4 linked regions of the Oreochromis niloticus genome follow. The protein of the gene in region 3 purifies or fractionates together with the protein of the main gene of each other region. This does not show direct contact. Links are inferred from orthologs where the notes say so. Each region holds a gene or a part of one and is shown on either strand. Other genes may lie near its edges.

Region 1 (7,310 bases), on a different chromosome or scaffold from region 3:
TTGGGGAAATCTGGGTGTTTCTGTATTTGTGGGAGGGAAAGGGGGCGGAATTACTTAAGCCTGGAAATCCATTAGCACAACTGTTGGCCGTAAATTATGTGAATGTTGACTTGAACTCACCTTTATTTTTTTGCCCTTGTATGGGTTCTTTATGTAGTCTTGAGCATCAACTATCAATTCTGTCAGGGTCCTGAATTTACGAATCTGGGTTTGGCAGAAAAACAAAACAGAGAAACTCAGGAGACTTGACTTAACAGAAAAATCTGACTTGGAGAAAAATCGATACAAATCAACTCACCTCTTTCGAGACCTCCTGCCATTTCTGCTTGCACATCTCAGCTGTGTAGGAATTGAAAGCAACTTTCTGCCAGTCCAGGTGGGACTCTGATGTTTTGTATTTAGTCAGGTCTTTCTGTGGAAGAGCCACTTTCATGGCCTCCAGCAGTCTTAAAAGGTCATCCTGCGCCCATACTGTGAAAATGTTAAAAGAGAGAGAGAGAAAAAAGACACATAAAAATCACAAAGGAAAAAAACAGATCCACCCAAAATATCTTTCAAATCATACATCCTTTTGTGTATTCTGCCAAGAAAAAAATAACAATAAAATTACTATTCTATTCGTTTATTGGCTTTAAGTTGGTAAATCATATATTCTAATCTAATTTGAATCAAACAGTTTTAATTGCTGTAATTCTTACAAGAACTAGTACATTAATCAAGTTTAATACTAAGGTCTTAATATACAAGGTTATGTAAAGTGCTGCTTTGCCATGATTAATCTACATATCAACTCTGTTCAGAAAAACTTTTGCAAAAAACCCACCTTGGTCTTGTGTCGTTGCCTCCATTTCTCCATTCATTTGCGGATATTCTGTCTTGGATCTGCGAAAAAAAACAAAAAACACCCCCATAAGATTATTTAAAAGCATATCTTTTATATATCGACTTCAATCAAGAACCAATCAGCAGTTTATAATATACATATTCGTGTTTATTACCTTTAACCAGTAAGGCTCGAGATCTTTAAAAATAGTAATTAATGTTATTTTGTCTTATTTGTATAAAAGGGCTTAATTACCAATTAAAGTGGCTAATTCTTCATATAAAAGTAATAAACGAGTCAAAGTCGTTAAATTTAAATTTGGCTCGACATAATGGTTTATGTTCATTACACCGCCCCTTAAACGTTTACGCTACATGGTGAGACATAGGCTATTGCTTGTGACGGCTTCAAATCTCAAATAACACTGCGGAGGGCTTCAACTAGCACATCTAGCTACGACAACAGGAGTCTCCGTCGAGCAAATTTTGCCAACCGGAATTTGGCGTATTAGTACTGTCCTTATTCCACAACAAAAGTATCGTGGACACACAGGAGCGACCATTTTCTCGCCTGGTCCGCTCAGTAATGGAGGATTTTCTGTCGGAGCTGAGGTTGGGGAGGATCCACGGAAGGAGGAAGCGAATGGACGTGGACGGACGGGCAGCTGTAGGCGACCAGCTGACCACGGACGAGGGATCTGCTTTCGGTCTCCGAGAAAGGGGAATGGTAGCTTGGAAGCACTGCAGCCAAATGCGCCACTCGACAGAGGCGCCTCATCACCGTTGGGCGCTGATCTAGCTCCGCCACGCAAAACCTATAATCTTCTCCTCGTAGTGTTAACTGAGACCGGAGCGATGAAATCAAAAATAACACTCGTTTACAGTAAATAAATGTGTTTAAAGGTTATCTGCAGGCCGTTTTTATTCACGTTTCAGGCGTTTCAGAGTGGGATTTGCTAGCAAAATCCAGAGCATTCTTCAGCGAGGCGTAACCGAACTGTGTTCCAATGATGGCGGCTGCTCGTTGTTCATCTTGTCCTTGATGGCCCCAGCTCAATGTGGTGTCCACCGTGTGACCTAGCTACATTTAAACGATCGATTTCACCATTTATGTAACTAAATAACCGCCACATTGTATATAAGAAACTCTTGAAACACAAAATGTACCTTAAATTTCATTATTATGACAATATGGGTGATATAAATTGGAGTGTTGAGGCATTACACGAGCAAGGACGATTTGACACACCGAATGCGGCTAAAATTGGGACATTTTCTTTTAAATATTATTAGCTATGCCTTTTAAAAGGTTATTTAATACAAGGCTTTAGGCTTTTTGGCATCTAAGAACAATTTCGTGTCCTGCAGAGTAGACCTGGACCACATTAACATTAGCTGTTGTTTACAACCAATCATTTAAATCACGTAACGGTTTTTATTTAGCTGCGTTTAATAAAAAACAGCTAATTCAAATGGTGGACAGCGGACAGGGATTAGTAACAAATTGTAAAAATGCCCGTAAATATCGTGGTGGCTGGCTGGAAAGACTTGCGGAGGCGCAGGAAGAAAGAAGAAAATGGAAAATGTTTTTTAACGGCCAAATGTTATAGCATCGAACTAAATTTTTTTGTTGTTGTAAAACCAGAAATCAGCTTTAACCGTTGCTTACAGTTCCGGTTGCAGTATTGTAGCATTAAACGGCATCTAAAATGGTTAGCTAAAGCTCCGAGGAAACATGTTAACAAACCGCGGCTGAGTAGCTTCTCTGGCGCGACAAACAGCTCCAGGTCCGCCATGCTTCAGCTCTGCTCTACAAGGAAACCTACCGTGACAAGGTCCAATGGCGCACTGCAAACACAGAGAAACGGAGCTTAAAACTAAAGCCAGGGCGTCGCAGACTCCCTTCCCTCGATCCAAAACCGTTTAAGCGAGGGCAAGAAGGCGGGTTCTCCGAGCTCGGTCGTCGGAGGTTCTGGGCTAGCCAGTGAGAGAGAGGGGGAGAGAGAGGGCGAGTCTCTGCACGGTGAGATATTAAACTGAGATCCCTGATGGCTAACCGAGAGAGGCGGCTGGCTGTTCCGTCAACAGCCGCATGGAGGTCTCGGCGCGGAAACCACCGTTTATTCTCCTACGCAAATACTCCCCGTACAGCAGAAGCAGGCGAGTTTCGATGAAGGGGTTAGCTCAAAAGAGTCTTTTTTCGTGTTATTTTGAAAAGAAATTTATCACGTTTACCCCAGGGTCTTACATCCAGTTCCTTCCCCGCTGTTTGGGACAAGAAATTCGGGTATGGCCGCCCTCGTCTGTACCCTACCACCGTCGGTTTATTTCGCTACTACAAAGAAGCTGCCGACCGAGGCGCTTTACGAGAAAACAAAAACATGCATTAAATGTATATTTATCGCGTTTTGATGGCTTTTTCGCGGTTTGTTTATCACGTACGCGCATTGTATATTGAAACCGATCGGCTGTTGTGTTGGCTTACCTGTCTCTCAGCGTGAGCCTCGGTGTCGCTGTGGAGGAAGAAGGGGAGGGTTGAACGATAGCCAGCACTGCGCCGTCGGTCCTGGGCTCCAGTCCCCGCAGAGATGGTCCTTCCCCCCCGCCTCCATCTCACTCGCCGTCTCCCTCCACTCAGCGCGCAGCAGCTCTTCTCTCTCCATCCAACCATTTCGCTACCCCGAGACCTCCACATTTTTTCCGATCTCTCAGTTTGAATACAACCGAGGGCGATTATTTTTACTCCCGCAGGCCGACCCCGTCACATCTGCAGCCGAAGTTTGAACCCACCGAATACTTTATCGGGTGACCGAGAGTGCAATGAAAACCAACATTTTACAGGTGATTGTAAAATTTATACAACTCAATCACCTCACGCTCTTCCATCAGATTTTTTTTTAATATCAACTTAAAACCGAAACTTTACAAATTTTACTTAAAAACGCCAGATTTCCACTTAAAATATAAATAATAAAATGGTCTATAACACAAAAACCGCGCTGTTTCTCGCTGCTCCTAACCTCTTTTTTGTATATTGTAAGCGGCTGTTTGACAGCTTCATTTTGGTCCAGCATGTTTTGCTTTTCAACTCCACCTTGTGTGTTTGTGGGCGGAACCCCCGGCCATCCAATCCAAGCAGTCCGATTCAGGGAAAACAAATGACTTTCAGGCCCTCGGCCTTGTTAAACCGTGTTGCGTTCCCATGGTGTAGGAAAAACGGGTATCTTTGCATGCGAAACGAGTAGAGACAAATGAAGACATGCTTGAACGAATAAGTCATATAGAGCTTATCTTAACTTCACGAAATGTCACATTACCTATAGAAAACAAACAAACAAAACTCATTGTAAAGAGGCAGGGGACTTAGCAGCGTGCAATGTCTGTTTTTAAAATTAAAGACTCGGAACAAGCAATTTACCCCTTTCCTGCCGTGATCATTTTCCCCAAAGAACTTTAACTATTTGTGTCGCAGTTCAGTTTGCCTCAAAGCAGTTGCGCTATTTAAGGGATAGGAAAATCAGCCGGTCCAACTATGTTTGTCTTGATTGAATATTAGAAACATTATTAAAAAGTGACATCATGAAATAAAAAATACATAACAAAGGGTGTATTTTACAACTTCACGGTTTTGTATGTTGTGTATCTATGTATTATGTGACATGTCATTCAGCTAAACATGTTTTACTAGTCTGAGAAAGAAAACAGTATTCTGTTTAATGATTCCCCCTGTGTTATTATCATAGTGTAGGCTAAGAATAAGTAAGAATAGGCCCCCCTTGTCTTCCAGAGCAGCAGGACTTTGAAGTTTCCTGACATCATTGAAGGCAGCATGAAGCTGACTGGCAGACATGCTCTTCACGCCCTCTCCTCTTTCTTGCAGGGTAAAAATAATGACAAAATGTTGACATGTGATGTGACATATTGTGTTACTTAATGCGTTCATGAAAACATGCGTTTTAAGGTTGTCTTTATTTTTTAATAAAATTAAATCCAAAGCATGTACAGTGTTTTGCACACAAATGTGATGGGCAACATAAAATGCACAAGGAAAATGTATACAGAGTTTTACCTGATTATGTCATCAGTATAACAATCAATTCAAACAATAAGATCTCAGCATCAACTATCTACCTGCACTGCACACCTCATTTAAAATCACAAACACTTACACACAAGCAGTGCATTTATATTCTATATAGGCCAACTGAACAAAAAAAGTCTAAACTGTTGCATAAACAATACACAAAGTAAATGGGAAAACTTCAGAAACAACTTCACACTTTTCTGAATAATCTGATAAACTATGGACAAAAGGCACATTATAGTCTCACAAAATTCATTATTTTGTGCGCATCTGAAGAGCTGACATCAGATTTCCTTAGCTTAAAGTAAGATGAAATTAAATTATTGTAACATGGGCAGAACTAAAATTTAACTGCATTGTTGTAATATTAAAGCCATGCTGTAATTGAGCACTAAAAGAAAATAAAACTATTATATATAAATGGATCTATCTAACATCACAAGGGGAAAATATCTCTTATTTTCAAAATCCATTCATTCATTTTTCCCTGAGAGAAAATGCCACTCTGTATCTAAGTACATAAACAGCCACTTATACCTTAAAAAACATTTTTGAAATCCTAAAATCTCAAAATATTAATTAGTAATACCTGATAGGTCTCGATGATGAAATTCAATACATTTTGGTTGTCTGTTGTGGTTGCAAACCCAAATTTAGATGCAGAAGTCATATATTAATAAATGTCAGGTAATGCCCTTTAAAGACAAATAGTAATGGAACAGTTTAAATATACAAAGAAGTGGCATCACTAAATAAAATGTGAATATGAACGGTATGGTGATGTTTATGGCAGTATAGATCCATCCTACTCATCCTCCTCAAATGTCACCTTGGCGTCATCAGCGTCCAGCTGCAACACATGCAGATCAGGTTACAACAAGGAAATTTACATATGAAATGACACGAAGAGGTAAATTTGAAAAATATAGGTAAGCACTTACACATTTCATTTCCATGGCAGAGAAGAGCCTGCCAGTCATGAACATGCGCAGAGGAACGGTCAGAATGAGAACAAAAGGCAGAGCCAGAGAGAAGGTGCTCATCTTCACTGCCCAAAGTACACCCAGGCACACGAGCTGGATCAGAGTGAACAGATGCATTCGCAGGGTACTCACCTGTACAAATGACAAAAATAAGAGTGAGAAATGCACTAATTAACAATTTATATGGTAATTATTACACCACTAGACTTGGATATATAAGAAAAAGCAGGATGGAATACATAATCTAATGCAAGGAGCTGTGAACCATTGGCTGTTTTTGAAAGTACTGTTAGCAGGTCTGGGAAAGTGAGTAAAAATGAAAGCAAGGTAAAAAAAAAATGATCACAAAGATATACAACAGAAGACACAAATGTGAGGCACAAAGCTACAAAGACATGGAAAAAATAGCAAATAGATTAAAAATTGTAAACAATACTAAATATTTTTTGTGCTCTGAGGAAAACTGTCTAACACAGTGAGTTAGCTTCGAAACATGAAGGTGTACTGCATACAAATTAACTGTGATTAGCTGATAAGTGTAAAATAAACTGTATTGTGCTGAATAGATACCCTGGTGGCATAGGCATCAGGGGGATGGTATTTCTTGGGAGTAATGAGCAGAAGGATCCTGTCCCACATCTGGATTCCATTTAGAGAAGTGATACCCATATAGAGGAAGATGCCAAACAAGGCAGTCATTGGAATCATCTTCAGAATAGGCTCCATGTAAATAGAAACTCCTGAAAATTGGCATGAGCAAAATGGTTATTTACTCTGACTCTGCTGTGCCTGCATCATTGCTGTAGATGGCAGCACCTACCAATCATGATGGCCACAATCATGCCGCTGACCCTCTGCTCAATCACTTTCTCAATCTCTGGTTTGGGGCCCTTGGACATGACAGTGAGAGCATTGGCGTGGGTGACAGATCGCACAGTGGCAGCACTCAGCCAAGGGACTCCAAAGATAGACGCGATTCCGCCCATGGTGACCAGGACGAGAAGGTCCCAGTGGAAACCCGACCCTTTTACCATTTTCCTTTCCGGTTTGCTCACAATCAGCCTGGGATTCACAGAGAACATTGAAAACAGAGATTTCTTAAATATTTAAGTAGTTAAATTCACACAAACTGATACTGTTATCGTTTAAAGTGTCACTGACGTAGTAATTTGGGACTCAAGGAAGATGAGGATGAAGACAAGCACTGCAGGTATACAGCTGGCACCTATCATCCAGCCGGGGAAAGGTTTCTTTTCTCCCATGGGGTTGATAAACCATCCCCTCGCATCGGGGTTAGTCACTTCAATACCTTTTGGCACAACCAGTTTCTATGAGAAGACAGAGTGATAATGCTGATTAGAAAGACATAGTTAAAGGTAGATTATTTGGCCTTACATCATACATTTTGAGAACTGGTTGGA
Region 2 (7,907 bases), on a different chromosome or scaffold from region 3:
CTGTCATGGAACCATCTTTGGATATCTTGTTTGATGCCACGTTCTGTTTCAAGTCGGGGTGCATAAGATCAAGTGTACACCTCAACTTCCTGCCCATCATCAACTCGGCGGGAGACCTACCTGTTGTTGATTGTGGTGTGATTCAGTAACTAAACAGACCCCTGTTTAACAGTGTGTGTCCAGTACTCGTTTTTTCCTTTAAAGTTTGCACCGCTCACCACTCTCAGGGGTGTAGCAGGCCTGTGTCTGTGTTCTTGACAAGTAATGCGGGACTGTACCTCATGCTCAATGTCAGTCTCCATGTGTGGCCACCACAGGTAACTTCTGGCCAGGCCCTTCATGTGGCTCATTCCCGACTGTGATGTAGCTGTTCCAGCATGGGGCATCAGCCTCGTTCTGGTATCACCACCTTCATCTCGTGAAACAAACTTATCAGTGCCTTATGATCCATGATAATCATAAACTTCCTGCCGTACAAGTACTCATGAAAATACTGTACACCAAATATTACAGCTAATCCTTCTGTATCCAGTTCTAAGTAGTTCTTTTCTCCTACACTCAGTGTATGTGATACAAACACAGTGGGTTTCTCCTCACCATCTAGCATGCAGTGAGGACTCCAGTGCAGAAAGACACAATTTGTGTCCCAGTGGCCGTTCCTTATGGGAATAATTTATACTGGGACCTGGAGGGGAAGAGAATTTGACCTTTCCATCGAAATTCCTGTTAACCAACAAAGTAAAGAAAATATCTTTTAAAATCATTCATCGTTTTTACCCCACCAGAACTTTTCTTGTATGATATAAAAAAGACACCGATGTTAACGATTCATTTTGTTACTGTCTCACTTATTTTGGTCCTGCTCCAGCTATAATCTTTTCTGGACAGATTTTTGTACTTTTGTTGTTTCTTTTATCTATTCTGACTTCTCTCTCTGTTATGGGAAATATTTTTTTGATTAATCTGCAAATAGGGCAATTTGATTAATTAACTCATTTTACTGGCTAAAATTCATAGATATAAAACCAAATTTTCCAATGGAAAACCGTCTTTTCAATGCTGTATAAATGAAACCATACAATATTTTAAAACAATACAACATTTCCATAATGTAAAAGCAATTAAAATAAACCTATGCTCCTTCTGTGATATCGTGTGATTCAAACCCTTAGCCTGTGTCTAACTGTTATTACATGAAACTCCCTGAAAGTGTCTTTGGCTTATTTAACTCTGTGATGTTTGACTTGCTAAAAAGTGCCTGGGCCTCGACTGATGGCCATGAGACTGTAACCTTCTTCTTCTTTTCAGTTTAATGGCGGTTGGTAAACCAGCTTAGATGCGCATTACCGCCGCCTGCTGGACTGGAGTGTGGATCTGGAAAAAATCACAGATTTCAACAGTTGGCCATAAACTTGAGACAGTGCCCTTCCGAGCAGGTTTTCTAATGTCAAATTTATCTTCAGCTCCTCAGAGATTGCTATTAATGCCTTCGTGTCCTAAACACAGACCAGCATCCTAACAGTACATGTTGAACACAGCCCAGTTATTTGCAGTGCTCACACAGTTCCATTGGGTGCTTGACTATTAGCTGTAGTGTTTTATTACTACTGGTTGAAAGTTTGGACACACCTTCTCATTTAATGGTTTCTCATTATTTTCATGACTATTTACATTGTAGATTCTCACTCAAGGCATCAACACTATGGATGAACATGTATGGTTCAGTAAAAGGACTAGATGTTACTGTCCCTGATATCGCATTGCTTTAAATGGAGAGAATCTTGAGGGATGGCTGTTATGAGGAAAGACAGCCCAGAAACTTTACCAGCAGCACACATCGTAGTGTGCTGTATCAAACAAAAAAGTGTGAAATAACTCCAAACATGTTTTATAATTTAGATTCTTCCAAATATCCGCCCTTTGCTTTGATTACTGCTTTGCACACTCTTGTCATTCTCTCCATGAGCTTCATGAGGTCGTCACCTGAAATGGTTTCCAACAGTCTTGAAGGCGTTCCCAGAGATGCTGAGCACTTGGCTTGTTTGCCTTCACTCTGCGCTCCATCTCATCCCAAACCATCTCCTTTGGGTTTAGGTCAGGTGACTGTGGAGGCCGGGCTGTAGTCGTTGCAAGTGTCTTCAAGATGCAGGTTTATTGAAATGGCCATAGTGAGTCCTTGAATATAGTAGGCTACTGTGAACTCTTAAGTGTTAGGTCATGTTTTTTGCACTGATCGCACTTCTATGTACACCCAAACACTAATGATAGCTAATTTCACCTCGTGTTTGTTTCATGATAGGTTTTCTTTTTCATTTAAATCAATGCTGCCAGCATCTCTGGACGGTCTCTGCCTCAGCAGCAACACAGATTTACATAAAATTGATCATTGATAAATTGTGTTAATTCATCCGTTTTTGTGTGTGTAAAAACTGTAAACTTATATCCAATGAGTTTGTTCATTTTAACATTTTAAACTTGCATTAATGTGACACTGGAACTCATTGTTGTTGGAAATGGGCCTAATATTTGACTTGTTCAGTTTTATTTATAGATTTTTTATAGTTTAATCAAGGTGCCATCAATCAGAGATCCCCTCTGAACAGCTCTTTGTAAGAGTAACAAGGAGGAGAAACCAGGGTCATGAAAGGGCAGCCACTGTGAAAATACAAATATTGTACAGTTAAATTTGTACAGACTATATCACTGTGGGTCAACCGTATTTTTCATTGTTCACTCTTATATACAGTCTTGGATATACTATGTACTATATTTTATTTATTTATTTAGTTTATTTTTATTTTTGTATTGTTATTTATTGTATATATATTCTTCTTTTTTTTCTTAACGGTGTGCTCTTTTCACTTACACTGAGTGGCAGGGGCGATTTTAGCCCATTTTTGGGGGGTGCTTCAACCCTCAATTTATTCGTAATAATTTATTCTGTTTTGGGAGTATTTTTATGTATCTGTATTATATTATACATACACATTAAAACTGAATCTCTGTCCAAAAAATGCACTCAGTTTACTTTTTACTCACTATGATCATCATTCATTATCCTCCCCCAGTAATTAAGGTTAGGATGTGTATTTTTTTATATTCCAATCCATTCTTCTTTTGTGGCATTTAAATAAACTTTATCAGATTTATGATTTTGTTACAGACTTTTCAAAAAAGTGTTTTGCTTTTCTTTCACAAATGTGGGGATTAAATTGTGTTAAAATGTACAAAACAGTGATGTCATGTTTTGTGACGAGGACCCAGGCACAGAGAGACTTGATGAATTTAAGAATCTTCTGATTTAAGAAAGAAATTTGCAGACTTGCACAGAGATGGTAAAATTCTGATGACTGATAACGGAGATGAAGACAACAGACGACGAGGACAGGGAGGAACAGGGGTTTAAATGCACCAAGGAGACAGTCAGAGAGAACTCGGGACAACTGGAGACATTTAAGGATGCAGGGACTGACAGTCTCTGTCGTGACGTGTAAAGTTTATCTTGCCTGGATGGGCAGCTCTCTGGGTGCTCAGCACCCCCAAAGCTCTGATCCTAGAATCGCCCCTGCTGAGCGGGTTTGCATACAGTTTCCGTTGTTCTTAAAGCACACTGACAATAAAGATTCTAATTCAGCCGTCTGCGTTCAGATGAGGGTGAAGAAAAGAGGAACTAAGATGTATGTTAATGACATGCAGTAGTGGCATATAAACACATGGGGAGTGAAAAGGGGTGTGGGGGATTCCCATGATGCTCTGAGCCTATATCAGAATGACAAATGACTCAGTAATTATTCACTGTGATTTCCAACATTTCTGCTCAATAGAAATGAATCTGAATCTGATTTCCTTTCAAAAACAGTTATACCCTGCTCCTCTGAGCAGCAGTGATGTGCTTGTACGGTCTGTGTGTTCTGATCATTTAGCTAACATCAGTACAAAGACTTTCTTGTTATTTTGAAGTGGTCTTTTAATAGTTGTCTCATCCAGGGAGCTTGGAGAAAAACAACTGGACTTCTTTAAGTTTCTTGAAGATGTTTCACCTCTCATCAAGCTTCTTCACTTCTAAAACCAAAGGGTGCAGAATCCTGGGTATGTAATCCCATGTGGGAGCTGGCCCTCAAGAGGACCAACAATATTGATCACATGTACCAAGGTGTGAAAAAGGGTGTGGGGTCATTATTAGCAGAGGTTTTGGGTGAAACTATTGTGAGACCTTATGCGACCCATTGAGATCACCTGACGCATGATATGAGTGGGGGTAAGGGTCTGTTAAGCGTCTGGGAAGGGATCTCAAACTGCCTTGTAGATGGCAGACAGATGGTGTCAAAGATGGCTGCTCACAGTGGACATAGGTGGTTCTCAAGTCAAGTCAAGTGGCTTTATTATCATTCCAACCATGTGCAGTGGTACAGTACACAGTGAAACGGAGCAACGTTCCTCTGAGACCACGCTGCTACATATAACAGACAATCAACACAGGATTACATAAAGTGCAACAAAACCAAAACAAAGAGAGTGCAACACCAGACAGAACAGAATAATGCAGACACAAGACAGTGCAATAGAAAAGTGCAACAACGACAGCGGGTTGTGCACAAGAGTGAGCATTGTGCAAAAAGTAACTTGGTGTGTGTGTATGAGATTGTGCAGATAAGTGCTGCTTTGACTCTCTTTCAAACCATGTGAAATGTGAACACTAGCATCCTCGAAAGAGTGACCGTTATCGTTTAGATGCAGATATCAATCAGAAATCAAAGACGGATTCCGGCTTCAACATTGTGACAGGAAGGTTGTTTTGGCACAACATCCGGCAGCTGAGAGCAGCTGTCGTCTGTTTGAAAACAAGATTTCCGTCTGTGTCCAGTTGGTGGCGGTAATGCGCCATTTTGCTTGCTAAGCAGCAGTAGATTAGATAGAAGAAGAAAGTTTGTGCTCGGTCGCACAGCTGCACGTGGGACGTGATCACACCGTGTCTGTTCACTGAGGATCAACACAGAAGAGAAGCGATTCGACTCCGCGGGCTGCGTTCATTTCAGTAGTTTACGCCAGAAACGATGAAGCCAGGTACAGTAAGATTACATGTGCTTATACTCGGTAATGCGGGCGGATGTCTGATCGTGTATTTAATGAGCCTGTACAGTTAGATACACTGCGTGGACGGCCTACACGGCCACGTTGTCCGTGAAAACTACAGCAGACTTGGGCGAACAGTGGCTGCCTGAGCGCGTGTTTTGTTCACGGTGAGACGTTCATGTGTCCGCGCAGTCTGAGTTGAACACGCGCTGTGCTCCACGCACGTGTCTGGGACTCAGTGGGGCCCACACAGCGACCTCCGTTACAACCAGAGTTACGGTTTTACTCAAAGTCGGGTCGTGCCGTCTGTAACCCGCTCGAACTGTTTACAGCTCCACGAGACGTAGCTCGCGCTAACGTTAGCCCGGCCGGAACTTTGTGTGTTTGCGGTTCGGTGAAAGTGTCCAAACATCACGGGGACGGCCACGCTGAGCACGCCGACACAGAAGTCAGTGAGTCGAGTCTTAGCCCGTGTTCCTCCCTGTTACTTCTTATGAAGGATGTTTCTGAGTGTGGGGCGTGTTGGAAGAACCACGTTATGTGCGTGTTATGCTGCGTCCCTCAGCTAGTCGGAAGTCGGTGTTTAAATCTGGAGCGCCACCTCAAGTCGCGTTTCGCACTCGAAAATCCCGAGCAGCCCCAGCGACCCGGGTTAACGATCCAAGATGGCGGCACTGACGTAGGCAGCCATGTACTGTAAAAGGTTGCTTTGGCTCATCTGGGATTTGGGAAAAACGTCAGGTCCCACCTTCATGTTGGCACCAGCTGTCTGACCTGCAGGGGCCGTCTGTTTCACTAGTGCCTGCTTGGCTCTGCTTTTAGGGTTTCCAGTAGGTGTTTGTACCTGATACCAGGGAACCTGCTCGTAAGGGGTTGTAAGTGAGCTGAGTGGGGTCAAAAATGTGACACCAGTGGAATGGTTGGCCCATCGGTGGCATCACTTAGTGAGTCTTGAGAGTAACTCATTCACAAAAATCTAAATTACCTTTTTTTTAAAAAAAACCAAACACAGCTAGACAAAGAACAACACTGTGGTCTCAGAGCCCGACAAGAAGCCATACACCGAGCAACAGGGATACCATCATCTTGATTTCCTCCTCTCTTTGGTGTTTGTGGCATACAAATGAGATCACGGGTCTTTTAGCCACATCGCTATAACGCCCACACCCACATGGAGGTGTTACTCGGCCGTAATGGAAAACGACCAAAACAGAATCTTTTGAAGATGAGTAGCTATGAGTGTAAAAGCGGCACCATCGTCCTTGACTCTCAGTGGTCTGGTTGCCACGTTACTGTGGATAACTTCAAGTTTGAACGTGTTGTTCCAACATTGCTAGTTTTGAAGAGGTGGATATGGTGTGTGTTTGAAGTTTCTGTTGGTATTTCACAACCTCCAGATCCACATGTGGGGCAGCTGTGGCTCAGGCTCATCTATCAAGGTTGATGGACTGACTCACACCGACTCCAGTCTGCATCTTTGTGCAACATATTGAACCCAGAGTTCCTCCAATGCACTCAATGTGATGTGTGTGTGAATGTCAATGGATAAAAGTGCTTAAGAGAAGATGATTGGGTGAATAAGTGTTATAGATGTGTCCGTCTATTTACACATATAATAAATGATTCATGGTTTCAGGTTTCAGTCCTCGCATGGACAGAGGAGGAAGAGGTGGAGGACGCGGTGGAGGCAGAGGAGGGTTTGGTGATCGCGGAGGACGAGGAGGATTCCGGGGAGGATTCCGGGGAGGAAGAGGTGAGACTGGAAACGTGTCGTTTGTATCATCACATCGTGGATGTCATCCTCAAATGCCAGGATGATGACTTGAAGCAGTTACAGAACAAAATATTTTTATTCAGGTATCTGCTAATAATATAATATTATAGGCTGTTAAGTTCAAATGGTAACAGTTTTGGTGTTTTGAACACACTTTCGGAGTTAAAGCAGCTTCCAAAACATTGGGTGCTCCACTTGATCACAAACAGCAGCTGAAGTGTTGCTTTGTATTTCTGCTTCTCCAATTACCCGAGCAATCTTTAAACACCACCGCTTTCACCAGACCACCGCATTTTAACCAAGCATTGAGCGCTCCACTTGTTTCTTAACCCTTTAAGACCTACCATAGAACCAAGTCCGCCAGAGTTTCTTTACATTTTACATGCTGTAGTGCCATTTTTAGGAGCATTTCAAGTTGCTATACATCAATACAACTGTTATATCCCAAATTTTAATAATATGTATGCATTAAGTGCATAATAATTACATAAATTGCAAAAAAGTGCAATAAACTACAAAAAAAGAAAATCATTTTTGTTTTTTTAACATATATTTCTACTTAGAGAAATTTAAGAGGCTTATCCCTCAAAACTGTAAATACAAAAAAGTTGCACAAAATAGTTTCCAGCAACAGGAAATTTATTTTGAGTGTCTTCAGTTTTATTTTTGAGATACACCAATTTTTATATACTGCAGGAAAAACGAAAATAAGTATTATAATCCAAATTTGCAAAGAAAACCGCATGTGCATCAAAATAAACTATTTCCAGCAGTGCAATTTGAGTTCTAAGCATCCCAGAAACTATTCAGAAAAGCATAGAGTCAAAGATGACTTTTAAAAACACCAGTATAGGCTTATAAGGCCCCGAAGGTTAAAAAAAACCCTACATTTTCCACGAATATGACGTCACTTCCGGTTTCGGGCAAGTAATGGTGGACATGCGATAGTTCGCGCTGACGTCTATTCCAACGTAGGAAGTGTTTTGAACAGCTGATCGTATTTGCAAAGCCTGTTTCTGGAATATTGTTTTTCATGCTGCAAGTGCTTTTTATGCAGTTT
Region 3 (6,827 bases):
GATATTTGACCATTCTTCTTTACAGAATTGATTCTGAGTTCATTTAAACTGGTTAGTTTCCTGTTATAGACCCAGCTGTATGGAGCCCCAGAGCATGATGATGCCACCACCATGCTTGACAGCTGGTCTAGTGTTTTTATATTTGAAAGTCTCACCTTTATTCCTCCAAACATAGACCTCTGCCTCGTCTGACCATAAAACTGTTCTCCAGAAGGCAATTGGCTTGTCCATGTGGTTAGCTGCATATTTCAGTCTAGCTGGAGGTGTCGGTTTTGGAGCAAAGGCTTCTTTCTCTGCACCCTCTCAGTCCATTTTGAGTTTCAGCTCGCTTCACTGTGGATACTGATGCTGACATTCAGCAGTTTCCAGTTCATGGCAGTGTTGAGCCTTGGTGGTTCTTGTGTTGTTCCTGAACATCCAAACCAATTTCCTGTCATCTGAGCGTGACAGTTTGGGTCTTCTTTCAGACCCTGGCAAAGTGGTGACACATAAAAATAACATGTACTTTGATACAGTTGTTTGAACTGGAGATATTGGAATCTGTTTAGAAATAACTCCAAGAGACCTTCTTAACTCTGGTAAATCCACAGTTCTCCTTCTTAGATCTTCACTGAGTTCCTTGCACTTGACTTCATTGTTCTAATTATTGATCAATCCGATGAGTGCCATTAAACAAATTCTTCTAATGCTGGCAAAGAGAAACTATCAGCTGTAGTGTGTCTGTGTAGGTTCTCAGTCATCCAGGTCAGGAGCTTGGAAAGAAAAATTTCCTGACAACGTTTCACCTCTCATCCGAGGAGCTTTAGAGAAAATTCAAAATAAGTTCAAACGTATGTACCAAATTTTTGTTTGTTTGTTTTAAGATACATGCTGATGACAATCATGTCACCGTGGAAAAAGAACTGTTTGAAGAAATCATTATAGGCCCAAAAATACCACGGCATTCATGCCCATGATGATTGTATGTAAACTGCTGGCCACAGCTGTATTTATAATCATAGTGGTTATTTTATCACTTATATGTGATTCACATATAAATATGGTTGCTGTTATACTTAGAATACCTCCCGGTGATAACGCCAAACTATTTGAATTGTATTCATTCTCCTGTTCTGAGTTTCTAGGCTGAGAAGTAGAAATTCAAATATTACATCAACAGTGTATGGATTTGCTTTTGATACTGGTGGCTGCTGCAGAGACTGTGTTCTAAATATTGTGCATTTTTACGTGTGTGCGTGCTTGTGTGTTTAGGGTTCACAGACTGGCCGCCCGAGAGGAAAGAGCTTTCTGTCAGCTGCAACACAGAAGTCACTGGAGAGGAAAAGAGGAATGATGTGAGTTTTTCCTGCATCGTTGCTGTTTTTCTGTTTTCTTCACAAATGTGAACCGAACCCAGTCATTACAAGTTACATAAGAACCACTGGAGTGGGTTTTTATTGCAAGGTAAAAATGCAGCAGTTCCTTTAATTTTGTGATGAATTGAAAATCCTGCACCACAGAAAGAAAAAACTTTCTTCTTCATTTCTTTGTCAGCTCCTAAAACTTGTCTTGTCTTTGTTTCAGGATCCAAAGAAAGGCTGCAGGAAGGCACCGGGGGGTTATGACGAGGACAGCACAAAAGTCTGGATTCTCTGCTGAGCTCCTGCCAGAAACCAAACGAGGACATTTCAGAGCAAATCCTCAGAGGGTCCCCAAGAGCGCTTCCTCCTCTAGACCCCAATGACACCTTCCTAATTGGCCCCAGTGAGAACTCCTAACAAGCCCTCTAGTGATTACATGAATAGAGTATTACTAATCATCTGAGAGTTTCCAAATCCAAAAACCAAATTTGATTCAAATGGATGACTAATGTATATCATTGTATTTCATCTCAGGGGCTTTGAGAACATTTTTGACACCATGGTGTCTACAGAGGAGCGGCTATGTCACGTCTGCTTCCGGCATCTTTTAGTTATTTATTTATTTATCTTTTTTGCCATCTTCAGATTATTCATGTTGAAGATATTTGTGTGAAAATGTTGAGTTGACAGAAAAAATCGTTTGGCAGCAACTATAAAGGGTTGTTCACAGCACCTGAAAGATTTATAGACTCTCAGCAGATGTTCTGACAGCTACAGTGAACAGTATTGATCATCTCTCTGTTCATTTGGGTACTAGAGGAAGACAGCAGTTCATAAATTTGGGGTCAAATATTAGATTTGTGTTGGGAACAAATACTCTTTAGTAGGTTGTGCGTTGTAGTCTTCATATAGGCAATCGCTTTGTTTAAAGGTGACCTATTGTGCTTATTTCCAGCCTAATATTTTTATTCACGAACTCCACTAGAGTGGCTTTGCATGATTCATAGGTAACAGAAATCCTTATTTATCTTTTGCTGAGGCTTGGTGCAGCTTCTCACTCCATCCACTGTCTGAAATAAGATACTTTAGCTCCTCTTTTGTTAACTTTGTGACCACTTTGACTGAAATTTCAGGACCACAGATCCTTAAACATAATCTTAAAGTGTGACTGTGGTCACATGCCTTAAAGTTGGCAAGCTAATAGTTACACAGCACCTTGTTTCACGTTTGCTGACATTGGCAGCTCTTTGCCTGCATAAGCTTTATAAACATCTATGAAACAGAATAAAATATACTTCAATCTTACTCTCAGATTTGAAACATAGCTTGGAGCTTTGTTCTGCTTATTTTCAGCTCCATTTTTTGTTGTTTCACTCTACCAGCATGGCTTTGCATGATTAACAGTTAAAAGTTTTCCTTATTATCTGATACTACGCCTTGGCGTAGCACCTCGCTCCCATTAACTAGCTGAAATGAGCTGTTTTAGTCAACTTTCTCCTGATTGGCTGCCCCTCATAAAACGGGTTTCAAGTAGGAAGTGGGTGGGACTTCTGTGCCTGATAAGACCATATTAGGGATATCCTCTTTCTTTTAAAGCCAAGCATAGATAAAACAGTTAGAGCAGTGTGAAGCCTTAACTTTTGTCTGTGCCACAGTATTTATGACAGAAAACAAGAAAAATTATTATAGATCCACTTGATGATGTTAGGAAGTAAATATGTGGTAGATAAGCCTTTTCAGAGCAGACACTTTGGAAAAGCACCCTTGTATGTGCTGTGCTGTATGGCTCACTGTTACATTTAATGGGAAATAAGCATTGCTTGTGTTTTTCCTGCTGCTGTTATAAATCTTTGTCTTTTGTGGAAAAAAAACAGTATTTCCACTTTTCCACAAACACATTGCTGGTGCTCAGTGTAGTGCAGACTAGTCCCAGGTGACAAAAGCTGAGGCCAGCACTACACTTCAGAGATCCCAGGCACGGTGATTTAGGCACTCAGGTCAGTGACCATGAGAAGGACTATCACAACAACCAGCAGAGGCAGTCCTCAGATTCTCTCTGTCATCATTTTTCTTGCCACAGTAGCTCTTAACTTCTCGCAACTCAGCATAATCACCACTAAAACCAGTTGAGGGGTGGGCCGGTTCTCTGGAAGCTCTCTGCGTGGATGGAAAAGAGGTGCATTAGGACACCCAGCTGAAACACACCTGTTCATTCATCACCTTCATGATTCACCACCTCTTGTATTCACACATATTAAACCCTGCTTGTGTGATATGAGTAGTATTTTGTTCGTCTTCTGATATTTGACTTGAAGTGTTACTCTTCGTGTTGCCTTAAATATTTGTAGCTAAAACCTTTTGCAAATTTTGTATTGTTGTGGATTTTTGATTTGTTTTAAATGTTATTTATTTGTTCGTGTTTGATAATAATAAACTTTTATTTACACTGAGTTGCTGATGTGATGTGTGAAACTGAGGGAAAATACAGACTCCCAGCAGCAGGGGGCGGTGTTCCCGGCTCTCACCCGGTTTCTTTTTTACCTTCCGCTTCCGGCTGTGTCTGGTGCTATGAGCTTTGTTTTGAATAGACGTCTTCTCGTCAGCTGATTGAAAACAGGATGGCGGAAGAGCAGGACGCCGGTGTTTCTTCCCGGGCGCAGAGGAAAGCTTTGAGCAAAGCTAAAATACTACAGCGAGAGAGCGAGAGGGAGGTCTTCAGACTGGTGAGAGGGGAGAAAACAGATGCACATTTACAGCTAGCAGGCTAGACTAGCTCATGTTTGCTGTGTGCATTGTGAGGCTTACCCGGTTCCTCTGTCTTCCTCCCGCAGGTCGGGCGGGTCCTGAAAAAACCGGAGTCTGAGCGGTCAGAGGAGGAGGCCGCTGCTCTGCTGCTCCACAGAGACACTGTGGAGGAGCTCTGCAAGAGACAAGTCCGCAGAAATGTGCTCAAGAGGAAGCAGGAAGAGGTGAGACTCCGGCCCAGAGAGGCTGGATCTGGCCTGCTAAGATTGGTTTGTCAGCTAGAGGGACAACTTGAGAACAGAAGTGGAAGCAGCAGGTTTCTGGGTTGATTGTGTGAAGACTCAGAGAGGTTGAATGGTAGTCCCTCTTTATGCACAAAGTCTAATAAATACAAAAGGACTAAACCCATTCTGTTAAATGCACTGGTACTTGTACAGTGCTGTTCTGCTCTAAATGGGCACTAACAGCTTCATTCACCCAATCACACACATTCATTTCTTACACCTAAGCACCTTTTTAACATTCACACATGCACTCCCAGTCTGATGGATGCAGCAGGCTAGATTCGGGCTTCAGTATCTTGCCTAAGGATAAGTCAAAATGCAGACTGGAGGAGCCAGAGTCAACCACTGGTCTCCTGAGCTACCACTCCGGTCCTCATGGACTGCTCATGGAGGAGCAGTATGAGGATTCAACATCTACCCATTTATTATCAATAAGAGTTAACACACGCACACATACAACCAGAAGCAGTATCTCTCAAAGTGCTAAATGTTAGCAGCTATTTTTGTTGGTTTTTAATCCTAGACTTAGCCAAAGTATGAACTGAGGAGCTGAACCAGGCGTGGTTTAACTCTTTTCCCCGTAAAGACGACATTTGACAAGCTCCCCAGTACCCTTAATGACATGTATTGACACCTCAGTACCAATATACTCTGATTTGAGTTTGATGACCACTAGAATAGTTTATGAAGGTCAGCTGCATAGAGAGACCACCCTCACGAATTTCTGATGGAAACCCAGTCATTTTGTTCTATAAGCAGGCCTAAAATATGGTAAAAACCACTCTGTTCAGAAAAGAGCTTCAAGGGTTATTCCTAGTAGGCTAAAACAGGGTGGGAGACATTACTTGTTAAAACATCCTGTGTTTTCTTCCTCTCTTAGAAGCATTTGTGGTGTTTAAAAAACTTTCATTAAAGATCATGGTTGGGTGACAGTGTCCTCCTGCTCTTTCTGCTGTGAGAGGGCAGCGAGGCTTCAGAGTGAAACGTACAGTAGTTTACTGCATGATTTTAAAAATTAAAACTGCTTCTTTTGCTTCGGACTTCCTCCCTTCAGTGATCATTTTACATTATTTTGTCATGGTTTAAAAAAATCAGATGCAAACCATCGTCACCGTCACTCCCTGACCCACCCTCCAGACAAACCCTCAATCTTTTTCTGATTATTTTTGAAGCTCTAATGGTCTTTAGTACATCCCTAATGTCTTTTTCAGGTATTTGATGGTGTTGATGAGCTGAAAAATAAAGTCAGGCAGCTCGCTGTGGCAGTCAAACAAGCCAGTCACCTGGTGGTTTACACTGGAGCCGGTATCAGCACGGTATGTTAAACTCTTCCTCTTCATTTTCGCCTTCCTTTTCCTTTTTAAACTTTCACAAAACTGACATCGTCTATAATTTCAGGCAGCTTCTATCCCTGACTACAGGGGCCCTAACGGGGTATGGACGCAGCTACAGAAGGGTCGGGCCATTAGGTGAGATACAGAGTGTTTACTGTGACATGAAATATATGTATTACTCTCCCCTAGTGCATTCTGTTTGATTTATCTCTGCGTTTCTTTACGAACAGCTCGTCAGACCTGAGTAAAGCGGAGCCGACGCTCACGCACATGTGCATTAAGATGCTTCATAAGGAAAAGCTGGTATGTCACACCAAAGTCCTCCAGGAACATATTTTGAATTTGAATATTGAATATTTTGCATTTAAATGAGTGATTAGAGATTTGTAACTTCAGTTTCAATGGTTACTGCGACATAAAAACAGCATCTAAAGACTCATCAGTTAAATCCAATAATTAAAAGAAAGCTTTAAGTTAAAAACGTTATTTACTTTTTCCAGTTATTCATTCAGACAGAAGCTTCAAAATAACTTCCAAGATGTTCCAAAATCACAAGACTTACTTCTAGAAGGATTTTAATACGGTTAGCCAAGAAAAACAATAGCTACACTTACCAGAACTTTACTATGATAACAAGCAGATGTGACACACACCTGAAACATGATTGGTTATTTGTGTTTCCTGCTCTGGCATTGATAAGGACAGGACAGCGTCCATCTTTAGCGTTACAGAATATTACCTCGGTTTACCCCGGTGCTGCGTCTCCTCCTTGTAGCATCTGTGCTCACATCACATTTAAAGGCAGTGCTTCATGTTCTGTCTTTGTTTGCTCTGTGTAAAGGTTAAGCACGTTGTGTCTCAGAACTGCGATGGACTTCACCTGCGTAGCAGTCTGCCCAGACATGCCCTCTCTGAACTCCATGGAAACATGTTTATTGAGGTAAGAACCACGCATCCTCAGTCCTTAGACTTTGTAGAAAGCCTGGAAAGAATTTGCTGTGATGTTTCTAAAAACAGCATCTAAACCTAAACCCCTACAGATCCAGACGTGTTTGTTTCTCATGCAAAAATATTTCTCAGGTGCATCATGTCTTAAAAGCGCTGGAGGTTAATGTTGCTTTTTA
Region 4 (7,245 bases), on a different chromosome or scaffold from region 3:
GAAAAGGAAGAAGTCAGAATTTTGTAAAAGAGCAATAAAGCCAAAGGTGAGACTGTGACAGACTTTACATTTACCTGTGTGTGGAGAAGGCCAGCCCATTAACTCTGCGGCTGTGAACTTTCTCCACCCGAGATGGCTCCGATCCCAGGAAATCTTTCACAGTCACCCTGCCAAGCTCATCGCCTGAAACACGATCAGAATGTAAGCGAAGTTAACTTTGTCTCAATTAAAGTCAGGTCTTAATCAAATGTGACTCAACAATGTAATGCAGCGTCTTACCAAAAGCAATGGTGCTTCTGTGGTGAGGGTGCCAAGCTAGAGAAGTAGGGGAGCAGCTAGGAGACTCTACATCTGAGGCAAAACAAAAACAGAAACTGAGAATGCGCTTGCCATCTCTCATTACTTACACAGGATATCCTGTACAGCACAGACATATTTCCAAGACAGCCTATAAACGGATTCCAGGAACAACAACACAAAGTCCTTCTTTAATCATCTAGACAAAAATAAAACGCTAGGTAGCTAGTTAGGTAATTATGGAGCACTTCCAAAGTTTTGGAAACACTCTTATTAACTCTTTAAACCTTGAAAGCCTTCTAGAAGTAACCCTTGAAGCTCTTTTGTGAACTAAGAGGTTTCATTATATTTCAGGCCTGCTTATAGAACTAAATGATTGAATCTGCATGTAAGTTAGTGAGGATGGTCTCTGCCTATTCCGCCACACCTGAAAAACCTGAAAACTACTCTAATGTTCATCAAATCACATCTTCATGGGTTTTTAATCCATCATTAAGGGGACAGATGAGGTGTTGTCAAATGTTGTCTTCATGGGGGAAAAGTTAAGGCTCTGGATTTGGGTTGATTACTTTGGTAATGGCTGCATATGTGGAGGAATCAACTCCATTGCAGTTGCAATATTGTCTACCTGCTAGGTATTAGTACATACTCCAACTTTAACACACATACATTTGCAGAGTGAATGACTGCTGCATAGTCTGTGTACTGGCATAAATTTGTAAACACAACTGTTTGTTTTGGAACAAATTTTACTCTCTGTCATAATTCATTTCCTGTGCAGCTTTACCAATTCTAATCTCAACTACTCTTCCAGTAGTGTTTGGCAAAAGTGGTTATCAAAGCTTAGTGAAGTAGCTTACCTATTCTTGATGCAGGTTTGTTGGGCTTCCTCCTGTCCCACAACAAAACACGCCCGTCCTAAGAAGGGATGAGAAGAAGAAGAAGTTGAGTTTATCTGAATGATTGCAGCTCTGCGGTCCAAAAAATAAACCTCTGCGACAAGAATGCAAACAACACGCTGATTAGCATCTTACTTGGCTACAGGAGAGAAACAGAGACTCATCTGTAGGACTGCAGGCAACACAAGTGACTGGTTGTGTGTGCACTGTGGGAAGAAAACAACAAGAACTGTTGAGTTAAACTTTTCATGTCAATGATGTTTATGACATTTTAATATAAAACTTTCCTTCAGCAATACATCGTTCCAAAGAGTCAATAGGAATATGACACTGGGATAGTCTGGTAATATCAGCAATAGAAACAAAAAACCTTGGTAAATTAATTAATCTAAAATCTATACATCCAGGAATGCTACAAAAAATAAACATTTTTTACTTTTATTTTTCCACATTATGGAAAAAAAAAAGCATTTTTATAAGTTTTGTGCATTTCTATATGAAGAAATGTTAAGATGACGCTTACCATTGTAGGTAGTGACAACCATTTCCTGACTTAGATCCCAGACTTTAATTCTGTAATAATAAGCAAAGATGCACTTTAAGGGATGACAAGGGCAACTCAAAAATTAAGTAAGCCAAAGTTTGAAACAAAAGCAATTAACATTGCTTCTGCGCTGTTGTGACAGGTGGAATGGTGTATGTATGTCCATGTAAAACAAGTCTAACCTGCAGTCCATGCTGCCAGTGACTGCAGCGGTTGCTCCAACCATGGGGCTTACTGTAGTGACAATATGGTCATGATCATTCTTGGTAAAGCGATTAACCAGTAGACGTTCATCCTCTGCTAGTTCCCAGAGCTCCAAGGCACCTGCACAGACAAATGAGACCAGTCTCATACAAGCCTCAAGTGTGTGCTTGATTCACCTGCCATAAAAACATTTCATTACCTGAATCTGAGGCAACAATAATTCCTTTCTCTGACACCCATTTGACATCTGTGACACCAGCCTCAGTCTGCACACCAGCTTTACAGAATCCCTCACTGGGGGCCTGGTCAGGGTCGCTGTAGATCCAAACAGATCCCTGCCAGCTTCTGCCAGAGAGGCTGGAGGCACCAAGTAGCAGGGTGCCATCTGTGGAGAAAGCCCAACGAGAAAACCTTTCAAACGTCTATATTTTCATTCATCGCCTGCCAGAAAAGTTTAGTCTGACTGGTATTCAACAGAAAATGTTATTTCTTTAACATTTTGTTGGATGTAAACATAAGAGAGTCAACGTAGGATTTCAACAGTTTAGCACAAATGTAAACACACTAATTATAACCAACTAGCGGCACCACGTGTTTACACGTTAACTTCAGCTAGCGCTCCTTTCCCCTACCTGCTCTGTATTGTGCCGCGCACAGGTGCCTCTCCATGCACGCAGGAGCATTGGGGGGTATGTCCCACCGGTTTTCCTTGATCATCCTAGTATCCACTGAACTATTCATCCAGAAATCGCACTTTAAATGTTGATGAGATTTCCTAAACTTCTACAACACAACTCCTGCGTTAGCTAGCTAGTGCTACTGCAGAAATGATGCAGGTTTTGTCTTTAGTTTATTTCTTTTGAAAATATTATTATTATTACTATCAATAATAGCACACAGTCGGTTGCTAAAAACACGATTAAGCCCGTAATGCATGAAAAACGAGTCCGTATATTTTTCGTTTCACGAATGAATGACCGAGAGCAGCGCAACACATGGAACTGCTAGCAAACGCTTCCTGTCCGGTTTCTTCTTCTTCTCTTTTTTTGGCAGCATGCATAGTACCAGACGTGTTACTGCCCTCTGCAGTATTATTTAGCTTATGGGGCCTCTTCAAAGGTTTAATGTAGTAATGTAATGTAGTACTGCCACCTGGAGTTACTATAGCTTTGTATTTTCACATCATGTTTTTATGTTTTTTTAAAAATTGTATTTCGTTTTAACTTTTTGCTTTGAACACTGTTTAGTTTCAGTTAACTTCCAGAGTGCATTTTCTCATTTAGTTTTAGTTTTTGTTCATTTCAGTGTTAGTTTTAGACTTAAAAAAGAAAATTGTATTTATGGCAAATGACAGAGGCAACATTTAGGAAAATCAATAGAGATATTACAATATCAACAGGACTTTTTGAAAGTGGTTGACTCACAGTCTTGTAGACATCCAAAGCCTCAACAAACAAGTTCACCAAAGCCTCATCATGCAGTTAGTGATAACAAATTTTACCAAAATAATACAATACTAACAATAATACATCATAACAATACCAAACTAGGGGTGTTTTCACTATCATTTAATTTCATTGTAGTTATTTTTCCAAGTTTACAGAATCACTTCAGATAGTTTACATTTTTTTAAACTAACTACTATGGAAGCTTCTTTCTGCCTTACAAACTCAAACATCCAAGAAAATAATTAGAAATCGCGAGTTATGTCATTTTTTTCTCCCAGTGGCAGAAAGAAACTTCCATAAGTTTTAGCATAATTTCAACCAGTACTTTGATGTGACTGCCTATGTCAGTTAGTTAGTATGTCAGTTACAGACAAATCAGTCCAGGAGTTATTAATCTTGGAGTATCTTGTCTTTCATTACAGTCTTTTCATTCTAGCTACAGATACCAACTTCTAAATTTACAATTTGGCAGATAGCCTAATTTTGATGTTTATTCCACTTTTGTAATGTTTCCTCCTTGTGCCGGGTCAACAGGAACATCTAAGCTAACTGAACTGCTTTAAGGCCCTTCAGCTTTTCATTACACCATCTGCTTTTGATCATAAAGATAAAATAAACCTGGTCACACACTGCCTTTTGTAGATGGCATTGCATCTGCTGATAATTTCTAGAGAAACTTAAGGTATTATTATTATTATTGTTAATAATAATAATAATAATAATAATAATAATAATATCACTTATTATTTCTATTACTTAAAACATTATTACTGTATTATAATTTATTACAGAACAAGCACTGTTTTTTACCAGTTAATATGAATGTAACACTATTTGCGCTTTTGAAAAATAAAGCAAGCATATACGTTACATTTAAATACACTTTAAATCATTAAAAAATTCATCATTAGCAACTAAAATATTCACCTGATGATGAAACGAGATCCAAAGACAGAGGACCACAAAAGTTACACCAGTATTCCTGAAGGGGTATCTGTCTACCACAATGCATCCAATAGTTGAGATTCTTCATTTCTAAATACCACAGTAGAAGAATTGAGAATAACTACTTTATTGTCACTCAACAAGATCAATGTTCATAGTAGTGAATCTCTCAGTAAAAGGATTTAAAGCTGGGTGACAGGTTTCCCCAGTGTCCTCTTATTGCCTAAGAAATCTGATATTGTCCTTTCTTCTGGGGCTTTGGAAGATAAATTCTGTGCCTCAAGTCATTTCTGACTATGGCATGACCATTTGGCCAACTACCTTCAGAACTTAATTTGATGTATAAATTACGTTATAGATAACTTATAAATGATTCATTCTGCCACGTGTCTATGTTTTCCATTTTTTTTCCAGGTCTTCAGGATTGGGAGGACATCAAACCCCCTTCTGCTATTTCTAGAAATTCCCATGTCTTCCTAGATCTTATTCTTTTTTGTCATCTCTTATCAAATAAGACTCGGGCTGGAGGTGGAAAAGCTGAAGATGCTATGATTTTTATTGGGAGTGACCACAATTGACAGCTCAGGCTGAGCAGTTTTAAGAGAAAGGTAGAGAGGCAAGGCTGGGAAGGTCTGGACATTCTCAAGAGGGACAGCGGAGATACTGGACAAAAGATGTTAAATATGTAGCTGCCATTCATGGATTTAGTGAAGGAGAACATGCAGAGGCTTGGTTGTCAAAGAGAACGCTAGGGATAGGGTGAGGTGGTGCCTTCACTGTGGTGACCACTAAAGGTTGCAGCCAAAAGAGGAAAAAAACATTATTGATATATTTCAAAGCATTTTTAAACCTTATGCGCATACTGCAAAACCTTAAAAGAAGAAGAAGAAAAAGACATGACGCAACATTATGGATGCAATTGGAGGTACAGCCGGTGATCTACTACTCAGAAGGTTGGTGGTTCAATCCCTGGCTGCTCCAGTCTGCATGCCAAATATCCACGGGCCAGATTCTAACTCCAAGTTACCGTTTAGGTAAGTCTGACAGCTCAATAGGTTTTTTGAGTTACAAAAAAGAGGTTTAATGGCGCAGTAAAAGTTGGTAAAATCATTTTGAACTAACCGGAAGTCCATTTGCGCTCCTTTTCATGTCCAGTTTGACCCTGTTTATTTACAATTCTGGCATTGGATAGTTTATATATACTAACGTAGTCCCTATTACGCCAACTGCTTATCGAACAAACCCCACAGTAAAGTGACAAGAGAAGAAAAGTAATTCCAATAATGTAAATGCGCACTTATAACTACGTCAAATCAATCTGCACTTTTATTGTGAAGGTAGGAAAACGGAAATGAAGGTTACATTGGCGAAAACGTTACAGTTCTGTCCCCCTGTCTAAAATCGATAAGTGATTGGCTTACTTGATGGTTAAGATTTTGTGGGTGTATTGCCGTGTTCACAAAAGGTAAGCACACAGCCATGTCAAGTGGCAAAACGTGTGTGTGTGTTTTTTTCCTCACACAAGTGTCGTCGGTGCACATAACGGTAGCTTTGTAACGTTAGTCGTCGTTACAGTGATGCCTTTGTCTCGGCTTTAACCCACCAGGTAACGTTAAGGCTAACCGTTAACTGTAGCTAAGGCTAGCTGCTCCGAGGTGTGTACCTGTCCACGCTGAGTGACAGACACTCAGGTGGGTGGATAGCTGCCGTTCTGCATGCTAGGCTGCTGATGTGTGCACACTGGACTGCAGCCTGTGCGCAGCTGCTGGGGAGCATTAAGGGAGAGCTGTTAACATTCTTGGCGAGTCAGACCTCCAGACATACCAGCATCATTGCCGCGCACTAAGAGAAATGTCATTCGAGGTGAAAGCAGTGAGCTGCTGGCACTGTAGCAATTAACAACGTAAAATAAGGTACTTAAAACCTACTGGGAGAGCAGAGGGTTTGTTTATTAAAAAAAAAAAAAAAAAGCCTTCATTTTCCTATTTTTTTTCTCCCGAAAGTATAAGTCAAATAACTTTAAGTTCATCATTTTAAATTAAAGCTCCAACGTGCCTTTATGGTCCTCCTTACACTGTACACTATGCCAATACTATATTTTTTTATTACAGTTATTGACATTTCTGTGTTTAGGCCTATTGTTTGATATCACATATGTATGAGGATCACTACTGTTTACTCTGTAAATAAGTAAAGTTAGTTTTAGATGTAGACTAAGTTTTGTACTAGTACTGCATTTCTACACGGGATATAGTAGCCAAACATCTGCATTACGTTTACTGAGAGCAGTGGCCAATGTTCACCTATTATGCCGGATAAATCCTACTTTGCTTATTTCACAAAGAGGTATGAATGACAACAATAACACTGATCATGTGCTACTTTGTCATTTTACACATCAGCGTTGGTACAAGAGTTAACAGCTGGAGCATCCTCACTTTCTGTACATTAAAGAATATTCCTGTGTAATGTAAAAATGTCATATTTATTATAAAAGTAACCATAAGAATACAACAATGTGTGTATTTCACAATCCACACTTTAAATGGCTATGTATGTATTAAAAAAATTTAAGCCACGGGCTATATTGACTTGGAGTGCGGTATTTTAGAGATGGTTTTGGATTCATCTACAGCCTGGTTTGCATGTTCTCCCTGCAACAGTGTGGGTTTCTTCTGGGTACACAGTGTAAACACAGTCGGTAGTTTTAAATGGGTTTGAATGCCAGGTACATAATGGGTATCAAGTACACCCTACGTGAAACTAACTTCTTTATTAGGTAAACCTGTCTAAGTCCTTGTTAATATAACTAATATTTAATCAGCAAATCACATGCGAATGCAATTTATTCAACAATGCAAAGACCAAGTATATGTAGTCGGGATGACCGGCTGAAGTTCAAACCGTG

What was found.
Region 1: the proteins of sirt7 (region 3) and ubtf purify together in Homo sapiens (affinity purification with western blotting; 3 studies listed by BioGRID, with this or other methods). This does not show direct contact. The link is inferred for Oreochromis niloticus from reciprocal best matches to the Homo sapiens genes SIRT7 and UBTF.
Region 2: the proteins of sirt7 (region 3) and fbl purify together in Homo sapiens (affinity purification with mass spectrometry; 3 studies listed by BioGRID, with this or other methods). This does not show direct contact. The link is inferred for Oreochromis niloticus from reciprocal best matches to the Homo sapiens genes SIRT7 and FBL.
Region 4: the proteins of sirt7 (region 3) and wdr77 purify together in Homo sapiens (affinity purification with mass spectrometry; 3 studies listed by BioGRID, with this or other methods). This does not show direct contact. The link is inferred for Oreochromis niloticus from reciprocal best matches to the Homo sapiens genes SIRT7 and WDR77.

The regions. Positions count from the first base shown.
Region 1 is NC_031969.2:28,404,036-28,411,345, forward strand, and holds the start of ubtf (nucleolar transcription factor 1), read right to left. Parts: upstream 3,022-7,310; 5' UTR 2,649-3,021; intron 883-2,648; 5' UTR 861-882; coding exon 824-860; intron 472-823; coding exon 299-471; intron 205-298; coding exon 121-204; intron 21-120; coding exon 1-20. Other genes in the region: slc4a1a (solute carrier family 4 member 1a (Diego blood group)), read right to left, coding at 5,712-5,756, 5,848-6,021, 6,460-6,629, 6,710-6,951, 7,051-7,217. UniProt on the Homo sapiens protein: Recognizes the ribosomal RNA gene promoter and activates transcription mediated by RNA polymerase I (Pol I) through cooperative interactions with the transcription factor SL1/TIF-IB complex.
Region 2 is NC_031976.2:1,781,193-1,789,099, forward strand, and holds the start of fbl (rRNA 2'-O-methyltransferase fibrillarin), read left to right. Parts: upstream 1-4,894; 5' UTR 4,895-5,054; coding exon 5,055-5,064; intron 5,065-6,709; coding exon 6,710-6,826; intron 6,827-7,907.
Region 3 is NC_031971.2:32,548,970-32,555,796, reverse strand, and holds the start of sirt7 (NAD-dependent protein deacetylase sirtuin-7), read left to right. Parts: upstream 1-3,811; 5' UTR 3,812-3,958; coding exon 3,959-4,063; intron 4,064-4,171; coding exon 4,172-4,309; intron 4,310-5,580; coding exon 5,581-5,685; intron 5,686-5,767; coding exon 5,768-5,838; intron 5,839-5,933; coding exon 5,934-6,006; intron 6,007-6,544; coding exon 6,545-6,643; intron 6,644-6,827. Other genes in the region: uncharacterized protein cp110, read left to right, coding at 1,252-1,334, 1,564-1,723. UniProt on the Homo sapiens protein: NAD-dependent protein-lysine deacylase that can act both as a deacetylase or deacylase (desuccinylase, depropionylase, deglutarylase and dedecanoylase), depending on the context. Specifically mediates deacetylation of histone H3 at 'Lys-18' (H3K18Ac).
Region 4 is NC_031970.2:22,062,858-22,070,102, forward strand, and holds the start of wdr77 (methylosome protein WDR77), read right to left. Parts: upstream 3,013-7,245; 5' UTR 2,686-3,012; coding exon 2,577-2,685; intron 2,330-2,576; coding exon 2,144-2,329; intron 2,065-2,143; coding exon 1,923-2,064; intron 1,770-1,922; coding exon 1,720-1,769; intron 1,403-1,719; coding exon 1,332-1,402; intron 1,216-1,331; coding exon 1,158-1,215; intron 352-1,157; coding exon 280-351; intron 184-279; coding exon 75-183; intron 1-74. UniProt on the Homo sapiens protein: Non-catalytic component of the methylosome complex, composed of PRMT5, WDR77 and CLNS1A, which modifies specific arginines to dimethylarginines in several spliceosomal Sm proteins and histones.